4 linked regions of the Drosophila melanogaster genome follow. The protein of the gene in region 3 interacts with the protein of the main gene of each other region in a pairwise test. Each region holds a gene or a part of one and is shown on either strand. Other genes may lie near its edges. The genes, in order: Es2, Golgin84, CG13083 and CG5913.

The links.
Region 1: the proteins of CG13083 (region 3) and Es2 interact in a two-hybrid assay, tested with the Drosophila melanogaster proteins (one large-scale study listed by BioGRID).
Region 2: the proteins of CG13083 (region 3) and Golgin84 interact in a two-hybrid assay, tested with the Drosophila melanogaster proteins (one large-scale study listed by BioGRID).
Region 4: the proteins of CG13083 (region 3) and CG5913 interact in a two-hybrid assay, tested with the Drosophila melanogaster proteins (one large-scale study listed by BioGRID).

The regions. Positions count from the first base shown.
Region 1 is NC_004354.4:8,459,273-8,464,164, reverse strand, and holds Es2 (Es2), read right to left. Parts: upstream 2,687-4,892; 5' UTR 2,595-2,686; coding exon 2,243-2,594; intron 2,101-2,242; coding exon 947-2,100; 3' UTR 816-946; downstream 1-815. Other genes in the region: Sptr (sepiapterin reductase), read left to right, coding at 1-644; CG15347 (uncharacterized protein), read left to right, coding at 3,342-3,399, 4,783-4,892.
Region 2 is NT_033777.3:24,355,191-24,359,778, forward strand, and holds Golgin84 (Golgin-84), read right to left. Parts: upstream 2,749-4,588; 5' UTR 2,687-2,748; coding exon 1,351-2,686; intron 1,296-1,350; coding exon 1,081-1,295; 3' UTR 880-1,080; downstream 1-879. Other genes in the region: CG6454 (uncharacterized protein), read left to right, coding at 1-134, 191-463, 526-588; CG18528 (uncharacterized protein), read right to left, coding at 3,021-4,007, 4,064-4,369. UniProt on the Drosophila melanogaster protein: May be involved in maintaining Golgi structure and in intra-Golgi transport.
Region 3 is NT_033779.5:19,485,410-19,489,749, forward strand, and holds CG13083 (uncharacterized protein), read left to right. Parts: upstream 1-2,080; 5' UTR 2,081-2,114; coding exon 2,115-2,968; intron 2,969-3,025; coding exon 3,026-3,122; 3' UTR 3,123-3,282; downstream 3,283-4,340. Other genes in the region: CG13084 (uncharacterized protein), read left to right, coding at 1-488, 548-987; CG10194 (uncharacterized protein), read right to left, coding at 3,399-3,803, 3,891-4,233, 4,296-4,340.
Region 4 is NT_033777.3:25,891,660-25,895,887, reverse strand, and holds CG5913 (uncharacterized protein), read right to left. Parts: upstream 2,394-4,228; 5' UTR 2,319-2,393; coding exon 954-2,318; 3' UTR 862-953; downstream 1-861. Other genes in the region: Sodq (sodesque), read right to left, coding at 1-8; Lnk, read right to left, coding at 3,086-3,439, 3,854-4,228.

The sequences.
Region 1 (4,892 bases), on a different chromosome or scaffold from region 3:
AGGAGTCTAAGGCAGAGATTGTCGCCACAGTGCCAGATCTATCCGTGCAAACCTATTCGCTGGAGCTGGAAACGGCCAAAACGGAGGACTTTACCAAGATTCTGGAGGCATCCGGTGGAAAGAACAATTTCGAGCGAGCCATAGTCATTCATAATGCCGGCACAGTGGGCGATACGTCAAAGAGGGCCAAAGAAATCGGAGATACCGACTTCCTACAGCGCTACTACCACTCCAATGTCTTCTCGGCCATTTCGCTAAACTGCGAGTTTATGCGCGTCTTCAAGGGAATCCCAAAGTTGGTGGTTAATCTCAGCACCTTGGCAGCCATTGCACCTATATCCTCGATGGCACACTATTGCACGGTGAAGGCAGCCCGTGAGATGTACTTCCGAGTGCTGGCCACCGAGGAGTCCGCCGAGGACACCCTGGTGTTGAACTACGCGCCCGGCGTCATAGACACACAGATGACCGTCCAGGTTCAGCGAGAGGCCCACGATCCCGCCGTGGTCGCCATGTTTCGAGAGCAAAGGGAGTCCAAGACCATGCTGACTCCCGCCCAAACGACGGAGCGATTCATCAAAGTCCTGGAAGCATTCAAGTTCAAGTCCGGCGATCATGTGGATTACAGGGATGAGCAGTTCTAGCTAGTTAATCAGTATGTTGCTATCTGTGGTAATGGGGTTTTTCGTATTGAAACATTAAAATGAAACTAAAAATGTGCGCAAGTGTTTTTGCTACAACACCCAATACATCTTAATGAACTTCAAAGCTGATAAGATATGTGTATGATGTTTATGATTTACGCATTCTTAAATCTTCTTTCCAACAACTCGGCATCTATTTATAAGAAATATACAATTCGTAACAACACTGTGGGACTATGTATAGTATTCTCTAATGAAATTAAACATGAATAATGTAGCTGGGTTATGGGTAATGTTATGTACTAAAAGAAATCGGCTGCAGTGCGTCGTTTAGTGGGTATCTTGAGCAGATCGTCCGTGAGCGTGGATCCCGTATCAATGGTAACGTTCTTAGCCGGAGTGCTAATCTTGGCCTGCTGTTTGGGTTTGGGTTCACCCAGTATTGGCGTATTGGTGCTCCTCACCACGCCGGGCGTAACCTTTCGTTTTCTGCCGCTCATCGGCGATGGTGTGTGCCTTAATCGGGGCGTGCCGCGGATACCCAGCTTACCCGTGGCCAGTAGCTGCGCTGCCGGCGACATGCTGGCCAGCCGTTCCATATTGGTGCGTATCAGTGGTGAGCCAATGTTACGACGCGCCGTATCCAGAGCCATTTGTTTTTGATTTCGCATCCTTTCGCTGACCCTTTCGGCCAAAGCGATGGCGATGTTTTCGCGCCGAGAGTTCTCATTAATCCGGAACGAGGGTCCTTGTGTGGGCCGCAATGGGGTATCGCCTCCGTCCAGGCGAAAGGGAGTGCCATCGATCTCACCCCAGGTCATTATGGGCGAGAAAGCCTCTCCGGGTCGCGGTGATGGTGAACGCAACAAATCGAAGCCGCGTACCTTCGGAGTAGCTGTGGCACCACCAGCCCCATTTTGGGGCACTTCATCATTCAGCTTTTTAGTGTCCATTTCGCGATGCTTTGCCTCATCGGGCAGCCTGGTGGCATTGTGTTGGATGCTCTGCTTCCGTTCGGCCAACTGGACGCGCTCCTCCTCTGTGTACTCCACGCCATCGGGCACGTACATAATGGAATTCATGTTGGTGTAGTTCCAGGTTTCGATCTTTCTCAGCGGATCTGGCTCCTCGAATTGCGTTTCTATGCTGGGCAGCATTAGGGCCCGCTGCAGTTGCTCTGCGGAGAGCTTCTCATGGTTGTACAGTACTGCGTATTTTTGGCGCAGCTTGGCCTCGGCCGTTTCGATGATCTCCTGAAAGCTCTGGTTATCCTCGCTGGTGTACTTCTGCAGAAAGGCGTCCAGCGATAGCTTCGCGGTGGTGTCCCTGCCCTCGGCATCGCTCTTCTCGGAGCCGTCCGTGGAAAATGGTGTGTCTGTGGCCCGGGAATTTGGCAATGGGGTGTTGCTACATTTCGCCTGACTCACTGGTGTCTCAAATGTGGCCGGGGACATGGCTGAAATGAAGGAATTCAAAAAGTTAATGGGTCTATCTATTGAACTTGGCCAATGTATAATTTCATCAGACTTGATTTCAAGTAAGATAGTAGCAGACAGCGATGTGCCAGTGGTGTTCATCCAATTGAGTACAATACCCACCATTATTCCGTCGGCTGGTGCTTCTTCCTGTCCCGGAAATCCTGCCCAGACTGTAGCGCTCCCGAATCTCGGCCATTTGTACAAAGTCGCGCCGTGACTCCGCGTCCAGGTAGTCGTTTTGGGCACGCAGCCGCTCCAGATCGGGAAAGAAGTCGCGCTGGATGATCTTAGACATCTCCTCGATGTACTTCTCCTCGGTAAGGATCTTTGGCTTGTTCTTGTGGCGCACCATCGCCGTGGGCTTTTTAAACTCGGCGAGTGCTGAATTCTGGACGCGGGCCACTTCCATGGCCAGGCTGCCGGGAGTGCCAGGTGTCCCCGGTGTGGCAGGTGTTCTAGTCGTGGCGCTCATTGCCGTTTATATCTCGCTTTTTTCGTAAATAACTTTGTTTTGTTTAGATATAAAAAGTGAATATTTTTGTCTGCCAGCAAAGTGTGACCGTTTTAAGTTTCACTCAGAATAACAAAACGTCGGTTCAAAATATTTCCCTGTATTTTTTTTTAATTCTCGGATGTAAAAGGTGAAATTAATCAGCTTAAAAGTTTCGACTTCCTTTACAATAAATTGGTGAGTATGAACCAATTTAAATTTAAATAGAAACAAAATGATATTTTGCTAAACTATATTAATTAAAAACTCTGGCAAGGAGTACTTATCGACGTGTTATCGATAAGTGTGGAACGCATTCAAATGCGCGCTAGCATTTGAATTGAAATTTTAATGCGATTAGCTAGCACTTGAAAATGAAATTTATTACGATTTTGCAAACATTAAAGATATATTTTTAAAACATCTGGAAGTTTCGCAAGTGCGCTGACTAACCCGCTGAACATAATTTATGAAAATGAATGTATGCCAAAGAGCGACAACTTTAGCGTCGTGAATCATTTCAAAACACTTTTTTTTCTCAACTCACCAATAGAATTACTGTTGTCGTGGTGCCTTATCGTAAAGCTGTAGGTATATATGAATAGGGTATAAAGCTCGGCAAAACTCAAATCACTCATTGAACCTTTTCTACTCCCTTAGTTCTGGTTCAGCTCCGTAACCAGTCGCAACATTCGATCGTCGTGAAATTAGTTACATCAGTTATCAGCCATGAAGTTTTACCTGTTGGTGATTGCAGCCCTCTCGTTTTTGGCCTACATCAGTTGTGGTAAATGTTGTACCTGCCTAAATGTTGTTCCAAAATAAGTTTCACTTTTAATTTTCATCGGGATCGTATTTTTTTTTTTTTAATTTTCTTTTTGCTCTTTGAATTGAAAAACTTATTGAGTGTTTTATATAAGGTGTGATAAGCGGTGATATCATGGACACGGAAATAAATTCATGATAAGCTATCAATAGGCGAGTTTCCAAAGAAACTTTTAAAGGTTCTTAGCTTTGTAACTGGGCAAACATATTCTTTTTTTTCTAAGTGTGAGTGAGCCAGCAAAAAGATGTGAAAATTGTACGCCATATATTTAAACCATGTGTACATACAGCTGTGTTCAAAAAAATAGCAGTGCAAGAGAAACTAAGAAATGCGACGGTTTTTTTTTCATGTTTCGGGATCGAATTTTTATTCCACTTATTTTTGTGAATTGGAATGTGTAGATAGGGAAAAAAAGAAAATGTCGTTAGTTTTCTATGCTATCCTTTTTTTTATTTACATTCTTGAGCAAAATCACAACTTTTAGGCTGTTCAACAGAATAGCAGTGTCTGGTTTTGACCAACGTAAACTCCCGAAATGATCAATATTTTCTAAAAAGTGAGTTTGAATTTGAATTTGAATTTGTATATTTAAAAGGGCAATAAATTAAAAAAATAAAAAATAAAGAAACGCAGAAGCAAATCGGCTAAGAATAAGTTCGTTCTAAGTCAAGTTGAATTTTGTTACTATTTTTTCATAGCACTGCTATTTCTGCTTGTTTTAATCTATATTTTCGAAACTATTAAAAAAATGAATGTGAAACATTTGTTGAATTGTTTAAAATTAAATACCTAATGATATTATAAAAAAAATTTTCCCATTAAAACTTGAAATCTTAAGATTTTTTTATTTTAAACTCAAGCACTGCTATTTTTATGAACACAGCTGTATGTCAGCGGTAATTTAATTTCTCTTTGTGATGAAGTACATAGTTATTCCGTTTCATTATTAAAGTTGAAACATAATCTCGTACATTCGTACTTTCATGTAAACACTTGGTAAATATTTAATATTTACTGCCACCTGATATGCTAAATATAATTTGCTTGCAAGCTTTCGATTTATAGCCAATGTAAATTGACTCTTCTTATCAAAAACATACAAGTTTGCTGATTCACTTGTCATGGGCATGTTCGTAAGAATCGATTGTGGAAAATCGAGACAATTGCCATCCGAGTACAGTGCGCGTCATTGTAATAAGGCATGCAGGTAGATACATAAAAAGAAATAATCAAACACATTCAAACACATATGCACTGTGGTAGGTAGGCAGACTTTGCACGAAATCAATATGATGTCATTATGCCAACGCAACGATTACGAAAAACTTGATCTAATCTAATCAGGCATGACTCAATCGAAACGCTCCGTTCCACTCGCTCAATTTGCAGATGGATGCATCCAGTGCAATTCGAAGGACAACGAACGCTGCGCCACAGATCCATTGAGCCTGCTC
Region 2 (4,588 bases), on a different chromosome or scaffold from region 3:
CTATTCCGCCATTCGGAATGAGCTCATTCAAAATGCGAAAAACTTCACCATCACGTCTTAACAATCTCGTTTCGGGATTGCCTTCAACCGGAGTTAAGCCATTGAACGTTGGATCTGTTCAACGTAGCCGTTATGTAAGAACATTAAATATTAATGATGTCTTTATATTAATATTATATTTCCTTGACAGTTTCCGCTGCGAGATCGTTATGGAGTGGATGTGACGCCACTAAGTTTCATACCTGGTGGTCGTATAGATAAATATTTGGGCAACCTAAACTTTTTCTTTATTCGGGAGAGCACGTCGATCCGGGAAAATGGTGGCATCAGCGGATTTGTCCATGGCTTCATTACCGAACTGTTGGCTGTGGTGAGAGCACACATCGCTTCGCTGGGCGGAAATGCCATGGTCTCTTTTTACATCACCGAACTTATGTTGTTCGATAATCAGCACAAGAATCAGGTAAGGCAAACACAATGATCTACTTACCTTAAAGTTTTTATACTGAAATCTTGTATTCTTAGGGCCAGTGCCTGATTAGCATCGGAGGCGATGCTGTCTATGTGAGCTACCATGCCGATGACTGATATAAAAACTTGCGGGGCATATAGCGCATGTTTTACGCGAATCGTCCCAAAAGCGTATACTCTCTATTTTCTTCCGCTTAGCTAGAACTATCAGCTCTGCCCAGCAACTGGAGTTAAACTGAAGTTAAACTAATTCACGTTTACTTAACAATTTTACAGCATCTGTAGATGGATTCTTTATGCAATATTTGAACTGTGAGGAATCGTTCTAATCCTAACTTAGTAGTGCTAATTTTTTCGGTCTTGTTACTTGTTTGCTGGATGTTTTTAGCGTTAAATCAATTGCAATTTCTGTACATAGTTGATGTTTATTGAATATTGAATTTAGAACGAGTGCGAGACACAAGTATAATATCGATATATACAATTGTTGCAACCACAAACATGACACATATACTCGTACCACTAGATATCCAATTTTGGCGCGTAAAATACAATACATACAATATTATGGAAATACAACAATTGCTCAACTAAATGTATTTGATTCGATTAGTTTGGTGTAGTGGAGAGCAGCACAAACATGACCCACAGATGTAGTAGGGCCACGTAGACGATCACAGAGACCCGCATCATGGGATAGCGACGCAGAAACGTTCCCACCCGAATACCCATGGAGTCCGCCTGGCGAAGGGCTCGCTTGAAGCGTCGTGCCACACGATTATCGAATGGACTTGGATGCATGAGAAGCGGGAATTGTGCTTTGACTAGGTAGAACTCATATTTATGTAATTTCTGGTACTCGCAGAATGTTAGACTTACCATCATCTGTGCTGTTGAGCATAGTATGGCGGGAGCTGCCCCTTTGGCTCTCCATTTCCACCAAGTGCATGTTTTGCTGTAGCTGCGTCTGTGCCTTTTCGTGCTGTAGTCGCAGGGCATTTCTCTCACTCGTAACTCTTTCCAGAAGACTTTGACGTTCGACCAGTGATTGGGTTAAAGCCTTTAGCCGAGTCTCGTAATCGCTCTTGGCTCCCGTGTTGGCTTCCTCGCTCAATCGCTGACGCATCTGCTGAAGCTGCTGCTCCCGCTCCTGGAGTCGAGTGGCGGCAGCAGCCATTTGGTTACTAAGTTGCTGCCGCAGTGAGGCCAGTTCCTGCGTGAGCACTCGCTGATCGGATTCGGAGGTCACACTGTGTTCCCTTGCCTGTCGCAACTCCTTTGCTAGTGTTTCCTCGCGTTGGCGGGCAGAGCTTAGTTCCACCTGTCGTTGTCTTTCCTGGGAAACGTAATCGTCCAGCTGCAAGCGCGCCTTTTGCAGTTCCTCGTTGGCATGCTCTAGTTCTTGCTTAAGTGACTCGTGTTCAATTTGCAGAAAACGCGTTTCACTGTCCTTGGACACCAGGTTTGGATCTGCGCCCTCCTCCGTGGGCTTCGCCTTCAACTCTGCGATGAGGGAATCCTTTGCTTGCAGAGCTCGCTGAGCCTTGATACGGTATTCCTGAAGCTCCTGGCGCTGCTGCTCCGTTTCCTTTGTTTGCATTTGCAATTTGTGAGCGGCGCTTATGTATTCCTGCTGCAACTTGGCCAGATTGGTTTCCAGTTCGGAGATGGAGTGCACATACGCCATGTTAGCTGCCTGGGCCTCATTGTAGTCATGAACCGCCTTGTCCCGCTCTTCGGACAGACTTTTAACCAGAGCTTCCAGCACCTGGGTGTGTTGATGCAGATCAAACTTTTCGGTTTCGTTATTAAGATCTTCCAAGCGCAGACGCAGTTCATCTCTTTCGGCCGTGATTTCATTCAGGGCGATCTTGAAGGCAGCCAATTCATTTGTGTCCATTGAGTTGGCGGATATGTCGGGACTGTTGGAGAAACTGGCCGACGTGGTCATCTTTTGGCGCATGTCCTTAGTGACCACGGAGACCCCGCCATCGCTTTTTACACTTGATGAGCTATTGGCCCCCGAGCGCCGCACTGGCGACAGAGTGGACTTCAGGGATGTGGACAGTGATTGGGTGCTGCTCGTCATGCTCCTACGCATGGGATCCGCTGAACCTGTGGCGTTCTCTGTCTGCAGGGCCGTTGCCGCATTTTGGTCCAGCTTGTTCAAAATGTTTTCGGCCTTGTCCGCCAGTCCTGTGATCCAGGATGACATATTTTTCTAAGAAAAACAAATCTCTTCGAGTAAAACACGTAAACAATATCACACTGTGTGCCCATATCGCTATCGACTGCGGAATGGTCAACTCCAAAGTTAAGGTCACTCTAAAAGTAACGTAATTTTGAAAAACCTTTTTTCTGATCAAAAAAATATTTATATGAAAATGTAAGGATTGGTTTTAGAAATAAATGTAATTCCAATCTTTCTTATCCGTGCAGAAATGTTAATTTATTATGCTTATCAAAACTCTAGGGTACAAATGAATATTTTATTCAATACTCAACATGGGCAGTGTAATCTTCGCAACTCACAACTATAAACTATCTCTTCACTTTCCAATGCAAAAGTCCTTGAAGACCACGTCGAGTATATCTTCGCAGCTGATGTGTCCGGTGATGCGTTCGATGCAGCGCACGGAGTTGCGCAGCTTGGAGGCGGCTATGGCCATGTCCGGGTAAACGTCGGGTCTGTAATCTCGTAGAAAAATATCAATGTTCTCAATGCAGCGCTCCAGTTGCTGACGGTAGCGTGTGTTTGTGATGCGTGGATTCTCCGCCCGCGGTTCTCCGCACAGTTCTTGCAGCTGCTTCTCCAGTGATCCCAGAAACACGGGCATCTTATCGGGCTTATGGCATGATATGGCTAACACGTTGGACAGCTTGTCCAGCTGCTGATGCTCCTCATCCGTCAAAGTGTCGGTTTTATTGGCCACCAATTGCAGACGTTTCCCTGAGCACATGTCCAGAGGTATATCCAACTCGCCCAGATAGCTATCTACAAACGGAGCAACTGCGTCGTCGTGCGTCAGCTGTGCAATGTTCTTGGCTTCTGCTAGGAGCAATATCAAATCAGATTGGACTAGACAATTCTTGGCTCTCTGCATTCCCTCCTGCTCTATACTATCCGTAGTATATCGGCGTAATCCGGCTGTGTCGGAAAATACCACCGGGTATCCTCCGAAATTGTGCATTGTTTCTATAATATCCCTTGTGGTGCCCGCCTGATCCGTCACTATGGACACGGATCGCTGGCAGAGGAGATTGAGCAGACTACTCTTGCCAACATTGGGTGCTCCAATGATCACAGTGCGGACTCCGTCGCGGAGGAGCTCTCCCTGCCGCTGGTCACTCAAATGCTCGCGAATCTCACGCTTTACCGCCTTTAGTTCTTTGCCGAGTTGCAGGATGATGCCGCCTTCGATTTGCTCCTCTTCGGCGAAGTCTATGTAGGCCTCCAAATGGGCAGCACAGCGAATAAGTCGACGGCGCCAGTTGTCGTAGAGTCGAGCCAGTGCTCCAGTGCTTTGTAGCAGTGCCTGGAGAAAGAAGAGACTTGAAACAAAATTTATGAGACCCTAAGTCCACTGTCTACCTGCTTTCTTTGCGCCTCCGTTTCAGCATGGATAAGATCGGCCAATCCCTCCACCTCTGTCAAATCCAGTTTGCCACCAAAGAACGCTCTCTTTGTGAACTCTCCCGGCTCCGCCGGCCGCAATCCATCCACTTTTCCCAGAGCATCCAACATGGCCGCAATGACTGCCAGGGACCCGTGTACCTGAAACTCGCAGGAATCCTCGCCAGTGAAAGAAGCCGGTCCCGGAAACCAAAGTAAGAGCCCACGGTCAATCATCTCTTTGCTGGCGGGATGGTAGAAGGATTTCAGATACGCCTGACGAGCCTATATGGAAAAGTATTTATAAAGGGAACTATAAGTTTCACTATCATAGAGGTCTCTCGTCTTAAAACCTGGCAGCTTGCCAATTATAACAAATTAAGCAGTTCACGAAATTATTCAATTTATTTAGTCAATTATATGTAAGTTAGGAGAAATTTGTTTATTTTTATACAGGATACATCTCCCAAAATGTATATAAATAAGCAACAGGTCTTTTCATTT
Region 3 (4,340 bases):
CATCGACGGACTGGCCAAACTTATTACTAGGACGGTGTTGCCACAATTGAATGGGCTAAAGTGTACCTTCGATAGCTTGGAGACGTCCCAAATCAACGTGGAGGTGGAGCTGAAGAACTTGGCCGGAGTCAAGGAGCTCAGCGAGAACTCCAACTTCAAGCTGAACGTGCTGGAGCATCAATTGAAGCAGCTGAATCGCACTCAGGAGCAGCGCTTGGACATCCTAATCGATGCAGTCAAGCATTTGCAGCCCCACAGTTCCTGGAAAGTGGAGGCTGTTCTCCGCGAACTGATCATCTCGCAGAAACGCATCGAACTGGGTCTGGAAGAGTGCAGCCGACAACAGCCCTATCCGCAATATGGCCATCACGACGAGTCCTATCTTCCCACCTACGGAGCTGAGGTCCCAGAGCCGCAGCATGCTCATCCTAAGCCCAAGCAAGTGGATCTGGAACAGGTGTGGAGCATCAAGGAGGAGCCCAAGCACGGTAAGTGGTCCTTATTGCCACCAGATTAGGATCACAAATTAATGGCTTGTCGTTCATAGGAGAGCACTCTGGAAACCACAAAGCTACCGCCTATGCCCAGTCCCCCGAGCCAAAGAAGAACTATCAGAGCTCCAGCGCCGTGTCCTGGCGGCAGACGGTGCCGTGGGAGTACGGATCCCCATACCAGTCCGCTCCAGTTCACCACCATCAGCCATGGAACCCAGCTCCGGCCCACGTTCCCACCTCCGTTACCAAGCCCAAGCCGTGCCCCAAGAAAGAGCACCCTACTCCGGCATCCTATGTTCCTTTGCCACATGACCAGCCTGAATCCTACAAGCTTCCTGTGGATTACAGTCCCAAACCTAACCACGAGCAACCTCATAAGCCCCACCACGAGCCACAGTCTTACAATGAGGAGATCTACAAGCCACAGCCCATCCAGCCAGGAGAATCCTTCAGGATTTGGTATGGAGACAGTTCCCTCCCCCAAGGATACTAAAGGAAGATTTAACTGGGACTACCACTGTTACTGAAACTGATACAACTTTTCAAAGCATTTAACAAACTCTTTTTTTTTAATTCAGATTCATTACTTTGTACAATTTTTATGTTTTATAAATAAATAAAAAAAAAGCAAAGGAAATACATTTTTGATTATATTCCTAGCAAGTAATTAATAAATAACTTTTGAGAAAAAATGCTATAGTTTCATGGAAATCATATGCATCAACTTTTAGCATCGTATGCGAAAATATACATTCAATTTCCAAAAACTTTTCTCAAAATCTATTCAAAATATACGAAGAAATTTTTGTTATTTTGTATGTTTTGTAGGTAAATAAATTCACCTTACTATTAACCTATGCTATTGTTTGTTGATAGAAGCAAATTTTAAAAATATTTTAAGCTTTTTTAAAAGTTAATAGTAAAGGATCCAAGTTTGTTTAAATTTGCAAAAGGCATCTTGGCCAATTTTTGAATAGGCATGATAATATGAAGGATAATTAATTATACTGCTGTTTTCGAAATAGGAAACAAAATATAGACTTATTAAACTTTTACAAAATTACTTTAGTTCGCTTTATTACTTTATTTCTTGTAAACGATAGACAGTATGCCCGAAAACATTTGTTACGTTATCATTACCTTCGAAGACCTATTTTCTGAATGAATTTGAACAAGAAGCAGCTGGGGCACGTTTTTCAGTGGTGTTATTACTACCGTAGCACACAAAAAACCGGGTCAATCTGTTCTGTTTAGAAACAAAGAAGAATTTTGAAACGTGACACTACACGGATTTTCCCTAACTTTACCAAGATGTCGATGAACCAATAACTATTTAGTACGACTACATGCAACATAATTCGCTTTAGTTCTTTCTTTTTACAAGATGATAAAACAGTTGTTCGCGACTATCTTCTTAGTAGTAGGGAAATTCTCGTAAACACACTATTACAGATTGGAGCAGCATTTGCACCTGCACCCGCTGAAGAGAAGTGGGTGGTGACCGAACTGATAGAACTTAACCCAGTCTAAGACACGTTTTGGACCTTAAGTTGGGCTACTTAAGTTGCGGTTCGGATCGAAAAGAGACACTCAGCGGGGAGCGGCCATCAGAGAAACACCATGAGAGTGCGACTGACTTTGCTAACGATATGCATTTACCTATGCGCGGCTGCAGCTGAGGATCTGGACTCCATCCATGAGATCCGCAGTGAGGTGGAGGAGCTGATCAAAGGTACGGAGGAGCTAAACCATGGGCTGCAGAAAGTGAAGGACGTGCAGAAGGGCATTGAAGAGAAGTTCAAGCATCAGCGCGACGAGATCGAACTCATTGCTGGATTGGAGGTTGCCATAGCCAAGCTGGAATCGAACGTTCAAAGCAGCTTCCAAGCCACGGCCTCTGGAGTGGGAAATTTGACAGCCATTGTTAACGCAATCCAGGGTCAGAATGAAAACTCTATTAGGAATCTTACCAAAGTGGAGCTAGAAATCAGGAAAGCCCTGGAACAAGTGGCTGCCAATCAGAACAAATACGAGCAGAACCTAAATGAAGTGGCCTCATCCGTCAACTCGCATCTGTCGGAGATTCAGCAGCTGCTATCACAGGCCGTCATAGGGGAACTCATCGGCTTGGACAATAAAGCGAAGGTCCTCCAGGAGCAGCAGCGCAACATCGTGGGTCAAGTGGGATATCTGGGCGAACTTAAGGCTCTGGCAGATCGTGCCAATCGCAAAGTCAATCAATTGGAGTGGGGTCTGGTCATTCTCAACCGCACTCAGTCCGAGAGCCTCAACAGCATCGAGCACACTGTCCATGGAGTGCAGGTGGCCACCTCACAGGTCGATCATAAACTGGCTGCCCTACTGAACAATCAGAAGAACATTGAAAGGACGCTGGATGGCTGCAAGCACAAAAATCCGTCACACCAGAAGCCCCACGAGATCTGGACTCACCCGGAACACGCACCAATTTACAAGTAAGTTTGTATGCCCTACTTCTGGGTGCACACTAAAACCACTCTTTTCATTTTAAGGCCAAAACCAGAGGGCAATCAAGGATACGAGAACGTCTATGCATCCCAAGAAGAGGCTGAATACCTATACAAACTTTGGTATGGAAAGGGCCAGTAGCATTAATACGAAAACTGAAGATAGATGTTTTATGCCATATTCAGAAATTGCTTGATTTCCTATATCAAATCCCAGCATGTCGATTCTATCTATCTTATATAATTGTATATTAAACCGTTCTGTAACACAATGTAATAAACAAGAGTAAATGGAGGAAATCGAACTTTATAAGTTGTATATTGCTAAAAAGTGTTATGTCCAACTTTATATATCAATTGTTGGAAAACTTATAAAACTAGATAAATGCACCTGACATAGAGGAAACCGGCTCTACCTCTATAATTTTGTTGGATCCAATGGATGAACCTGACCATCATCCCGCTCAAACTTAATTATCAGCTGCGACTGATGCTGGTTCCAGTGCTCCGATCGATGTAATTTAGCATTCGTCTTCGAACGGAATTCCTCGACTGACAAATCGATCTCAATTTTTTCGTTACTTGCATCCGGATCGGCGGGGTAAGCATCATCTCCTGGCAAGAGATGCACTAATCCATTTGTACACTTGTGCACTACAGGATGAATCAGCTGAATGCCTTTGACCTCACGCTCTGCTGCAAACTGACGCAGGTTATCTAAAGAGGAGAAGTTTAGGCAGCGCGAAAGTTCATAGAATTGTGGAGGCGGCAGCCAGAGTTCTTTTCTTAGGCTCGCTTGAAGGTAGTCCAATGGGGAACGCCACTACAATAATATAAATGATAGTACATTAAATGCAACTTAAAGGTTTCGCGTATCGCTCTTGTGCCGTATAATATCCCACCCACCTACCGCAGAATCCTTGACCTCATTAGGTTCGATGTGAACCCTGGGTTCCTGTTCCAGGGCAGTCATAAAGAAGGCCGTCTCGAAGCGCTTCTTAAACGTGGACGGCGTGCGCCAGACAGACCACTCGTGAAGTGACCAGACATCTGGAAGCACATCCAGCTGCTTGCAGAGCTCCAGGAACTGGCTGGCATTGTTGTGGACGATGTGCTGCCAGTGGGCGCGGTCAAACTGGTCATAGAACGCTCCATAATCGCTAGTGGAGGTCAATGATTTGCTGTCCCTGCACAGCAGGATACCCAACTCCTCGAAGGTTTCTCGTATGGCAGTCAGCCGCAGAGCTAGGGATCTGTTAGGTGCGAAAATAATGTTACATCACCAATTTCCTAAAAACCTATTTGAGTTGCATACGGATCCAGCGATTTCTTATCTGCCTTGGTGTGGAAAATATCCGGA
Region 4 (4,228 bases), on a different chromosome or scaffold from region 3:
ATGAGCATTCTAAACTGGTTAAGTTAGGACTCGAATGTGAGAAACTTGCGACCTCACCGTTCTGGGGCTTCGGTTGAACTGATCCAAGCGCCCGACTCGGCTCATCCATGATGACTTCGACATGGTTTTCACGCCGATTGACCACGTTAATTGTCACCGGCCTGCGGATCGCAGTGGTGGCGATATATAGACAGATATATAGCCGGCACATTTGATGACTAGATTGGAAGCTAATGGCAATCGAGTGTCGCGTGTGTCTGGGTCTGATGCCTGGTTACCTGCCACATGGGCGTACTTCTTGCGGGGATTGAGGGCAAGATCACAATCCCATTATTGAGACGTTCAGAAGCGGTTGACAGTTCAATAATATCGAAGCATAGGTAAGCTATTATAATTATATTACCACAAATTGGAACAAAGTACTGATGAATTTATAATATAGTATATATGCGTTGACGGTCTATAACTAAAGTTTAACTAGATCATCGTTAAAGTGTATATCTAGTATGCAATATTTTGTAACAAAGCGTTGACAGTAATGTACTCTATTGAATATTTAATTTTTAAATTAAACAAATGGTAATACCAAATATACGTCACAAACTATATAATATAATGCTGTAATAATAATTCATTAGACTTAGTCCGTTGCCCTCATTATCTATCTGATTAATTTGACTATAATGTGAACCTAAAATGGCTAATCACGAACACATTGAAAGTGAAACACCTAACCCAGATTCCCAAAAAGCGAAATCGACACGCGAGATTTGCTGGCAAATAGATGGCATATTTAGTTTATTTTATAAATACCTGCCCATTTGCAATAATTAACAAATTCGTTAAATTTCGCAATAAATTAAACTGGGGTATGCGTGCGATTAAAGACATGTAATGTTAGTAGTTTACAAGAGGATCAGTCGTTTATGGTCTACATTTTTGGGAATTAGGGATCATCGGTAGCCGCCACGGTATCCTCCGCGACCGCCTCCACCTCCTCTGCCTCGTCCTCCTCCATCACGTCCTCCTCCATCACGTCCTCCTCCATCACGTCCTCCACCATCACGGCCGCCTTGTGGATTCCAGCCTGTACCCTGCACACGGCCACTCCCGCTGATCCATTGCTGATCATTTCTATCGCTGCGGTCACGTTGTTCGTAACTTTGGTTTTGATGTTGCTGCTGCTGCTGCTGAGGCTGCTGCCAGTTGCCACCTCCACCTCCTCCTCCACCTCCTCTTCCTCCACCGAAGCCGCCACCGCCGCCGCCGCCCCTGCCTCCTCTGAAATTACCTCCTCCACCGCGTCCGCCACCTGGAGGACCACTAGCCCTTTGCTGCTGCCACGAGGGCATCTCTGGTGGCGGAGGAGCATGCTCATTGGCCCTGCCTCCGCGATCGGGTACCCGACCAATCACATGCTTTTGGATTTTGGAAGCCGTATTCTTTCTCACATTCGCTGAGCTTGTCTTCTCAATGATGGCCAGATCTGAGCGAGCTGCCAACAGGGCGACCAAGTCGGTTTGCTTTCCGCCCACTTTAAACTGATCCAGCTCCCTCATCTTGCGATTGAATCGATCCATGATCTCATTGGAGCGCTGACGCATAGACTCCGACCACTGAAAGCTTTGTACAGTGGCCTCCAGACGCGTGGACATCATCTGCCTGCGCAAATTGTACTCCGCCTCCAGTTCTCGGTGCAGGGTCTCCAACAATTGCCATTGTGCATCAGTCAAGGGCTTCTTAAGCTTCAACAGCGGTTCGCTGAGCACTTGGGGATTGGTTTTTTTAATGGCCTGCTCCAAGCGGGGAGTTATCTTCTCGAAAAGCATCTTGGTATTGATGTTCTTAGGCACTTCGCCCAGCTGAAGATCCTTGGCTAAGTTTTCGACAACCTGTTGGACATTCGTGTCCACCTTCGATCGTTTGCAGGGTGGACCCACGGGCTGGGCCTTCAGAACCATTTTGGTGGTCATCAGTTCGGATGTGAGGTACTCCAGCAGCTGCACCAGTGCCATACGGCTCTTGAATCGCTGCTCTATGGGTCCCTGCACCAGCTCGCGGTACGGGCAGCCAAGTTCCGTGAGTAGCAGAGACAGCTCGAAGGAAAAGTCTTTGTTAAGGGCTTTGCCCTGATTCACCCGCTCATCGGTTTTCCGCAAAATGTGCAATTCGTGGGCGAGCCAAAGAACCACCTCTTGCATGTCTGGACTTTCAATACCCGCGTCCAGGGCACGACTCAGATTTTCCTGCTTTTGGCAGTGCCCTTGGAAGGACAGCGCCTTCAGGGAATCCACCAAATACAGTTCCAGATCTTCCATATCCTTCGAGAGTTTCAGCTTTTCCTCGAATTGTCAACTTTTTGCCTCTCACCGGCGTGGCAATGTGACCATTGCTTTGTGGGTCGGAAATATCAAAAACTTTTCCAAAGCCAACCTGCCAACTTGTCAAAATAGCGCTGCGAGGTTAGCACGGGCACATACCATGCAAATATTTTGAAAAACATTTTTCGTTACCTTATTTCAAACGAATTTATATATAATATAAAGACTTGGTAAAAGTAATTAAAATAACCACTTTAAAACCCAAAGCCCAAATGAAAGAAGACCGACGTTGGTTTACTTTTACATAACTTCATTTATTGTAGTTTACCAATTTCAATATATATTTATGTATATATAATTTATATTTATAAGTATGGTATATATGTATGTATTTTTGTTTTGTAAAGCAGGAAGTTTTAGGATTCGCATGAGTCGCACCTTTGGTGCCCACAAAAATCGTACAATTTTCTTTTGCGTTTTTTTTTTTTTAGGTTCTTCTTTTCTATACATACAACATTGATGTACTTAAAATGAACACACACATTTAGCTATATAATGTATACATAATAATGTTCAGTTACTTCATGTCTTCCAAAAGAGGTACTAACTAAAATAGAAACAAGTGAATCAAGAAAGCAAAGAACGCACATTGATGCGAAAAAAAACACAATTTTCCTCTCCTTTAGGACAATGATTAAAATGGCACAAAAGTAAAGTTCCGCTGGTTAAGCCGCGAAATGCAGTTGATGATCGATCGCGCGGACTTAGGTGAAGCTGTACTGATTATCGACGGCCCGTCCGGTGCACTCGGCTCCTCCACTGGATCCCGATCCGCCTCCTGCTCCGCCGCTGTTGCTGCCGCCATCGCTGGGATGCCGGTTGCCGGAGGAACCCGCCTGATGGTGGGCAGCTGCCTGAAGGGAGGCGTTCGAAGCCCGCAGATGTGGCTGGTCCAGGAAATTCTGGGCCGGTGGCGGTGATCCGTGCACTGTTAGCGTTGTGGGATCCAAATGGAAATAGACTTGCTCCGGAAAATAGACGTGTGTTGGCTCCTGTGGCAGTTCGATTTCATTTGTCTTTAGGCGAACACTCAAATTCATGGTAATCACTTCGTTGCACTGTTGGAAGAGTATTTAAAATAAAGTTTAGTTAGTCTGGAGACTTTTTCGGGGCGGTCTGGGGTGTGTGGTGAAACATGAAGCATGCGACAATCAAATCAAACTAAACACGAACTAACTAAAATACAACATATTTACTTGAAACAAAGGGTTCCAAAATTCATTTATCCGGTTTTGAAATATGCAAGTTATAATTTAGAATTTTAGCTTCATTGATTGATTAAAGTTACTATTGGAATCAATCTTTGGATTTTTAAAACAAAATGTAAGTTAGTTACTAAGCTCTAGATTCATCAGTTCACAGTTCAAGCCCCATCCCAGTTGATATGAAATGATAACAACTTAATTGAAATCAAAGTAAAATAAAAAACCATCACTGACACTGAATTGACTCCAAAATTTTGGCTATCTCACATGTCTCGGCGACGGATGGCCACCGCCAGCAGCTCCCGATGCAGTTCCTCCCGCCGCATTCGATGCCGTCGATGAACCCTGACCATTATCGTAGCCATTGCCGTTCCCATTGCCATTCCCATTTGTCGAAAGATCGTTGAGTTGTCCTGAGTCATGATTTGCTGCCGTCGTCGGGTCATTCAGTCTGCTGTGTGAGTGCACCCATTCGGTAAGAGTCACATCCGAAGTGCCGCCCGATTCCAGTGGTATCGGGTTGTGGCGGAAGTGTTCGAGCATTTCCTGGATCGAGGGAAACCACAGGTGCTGCACCCGACACTGACCCTTCTCCGAAATGGTGAGCCGCAAATGCTTGGCTCGTCCTTGGAAGTTAAAGGT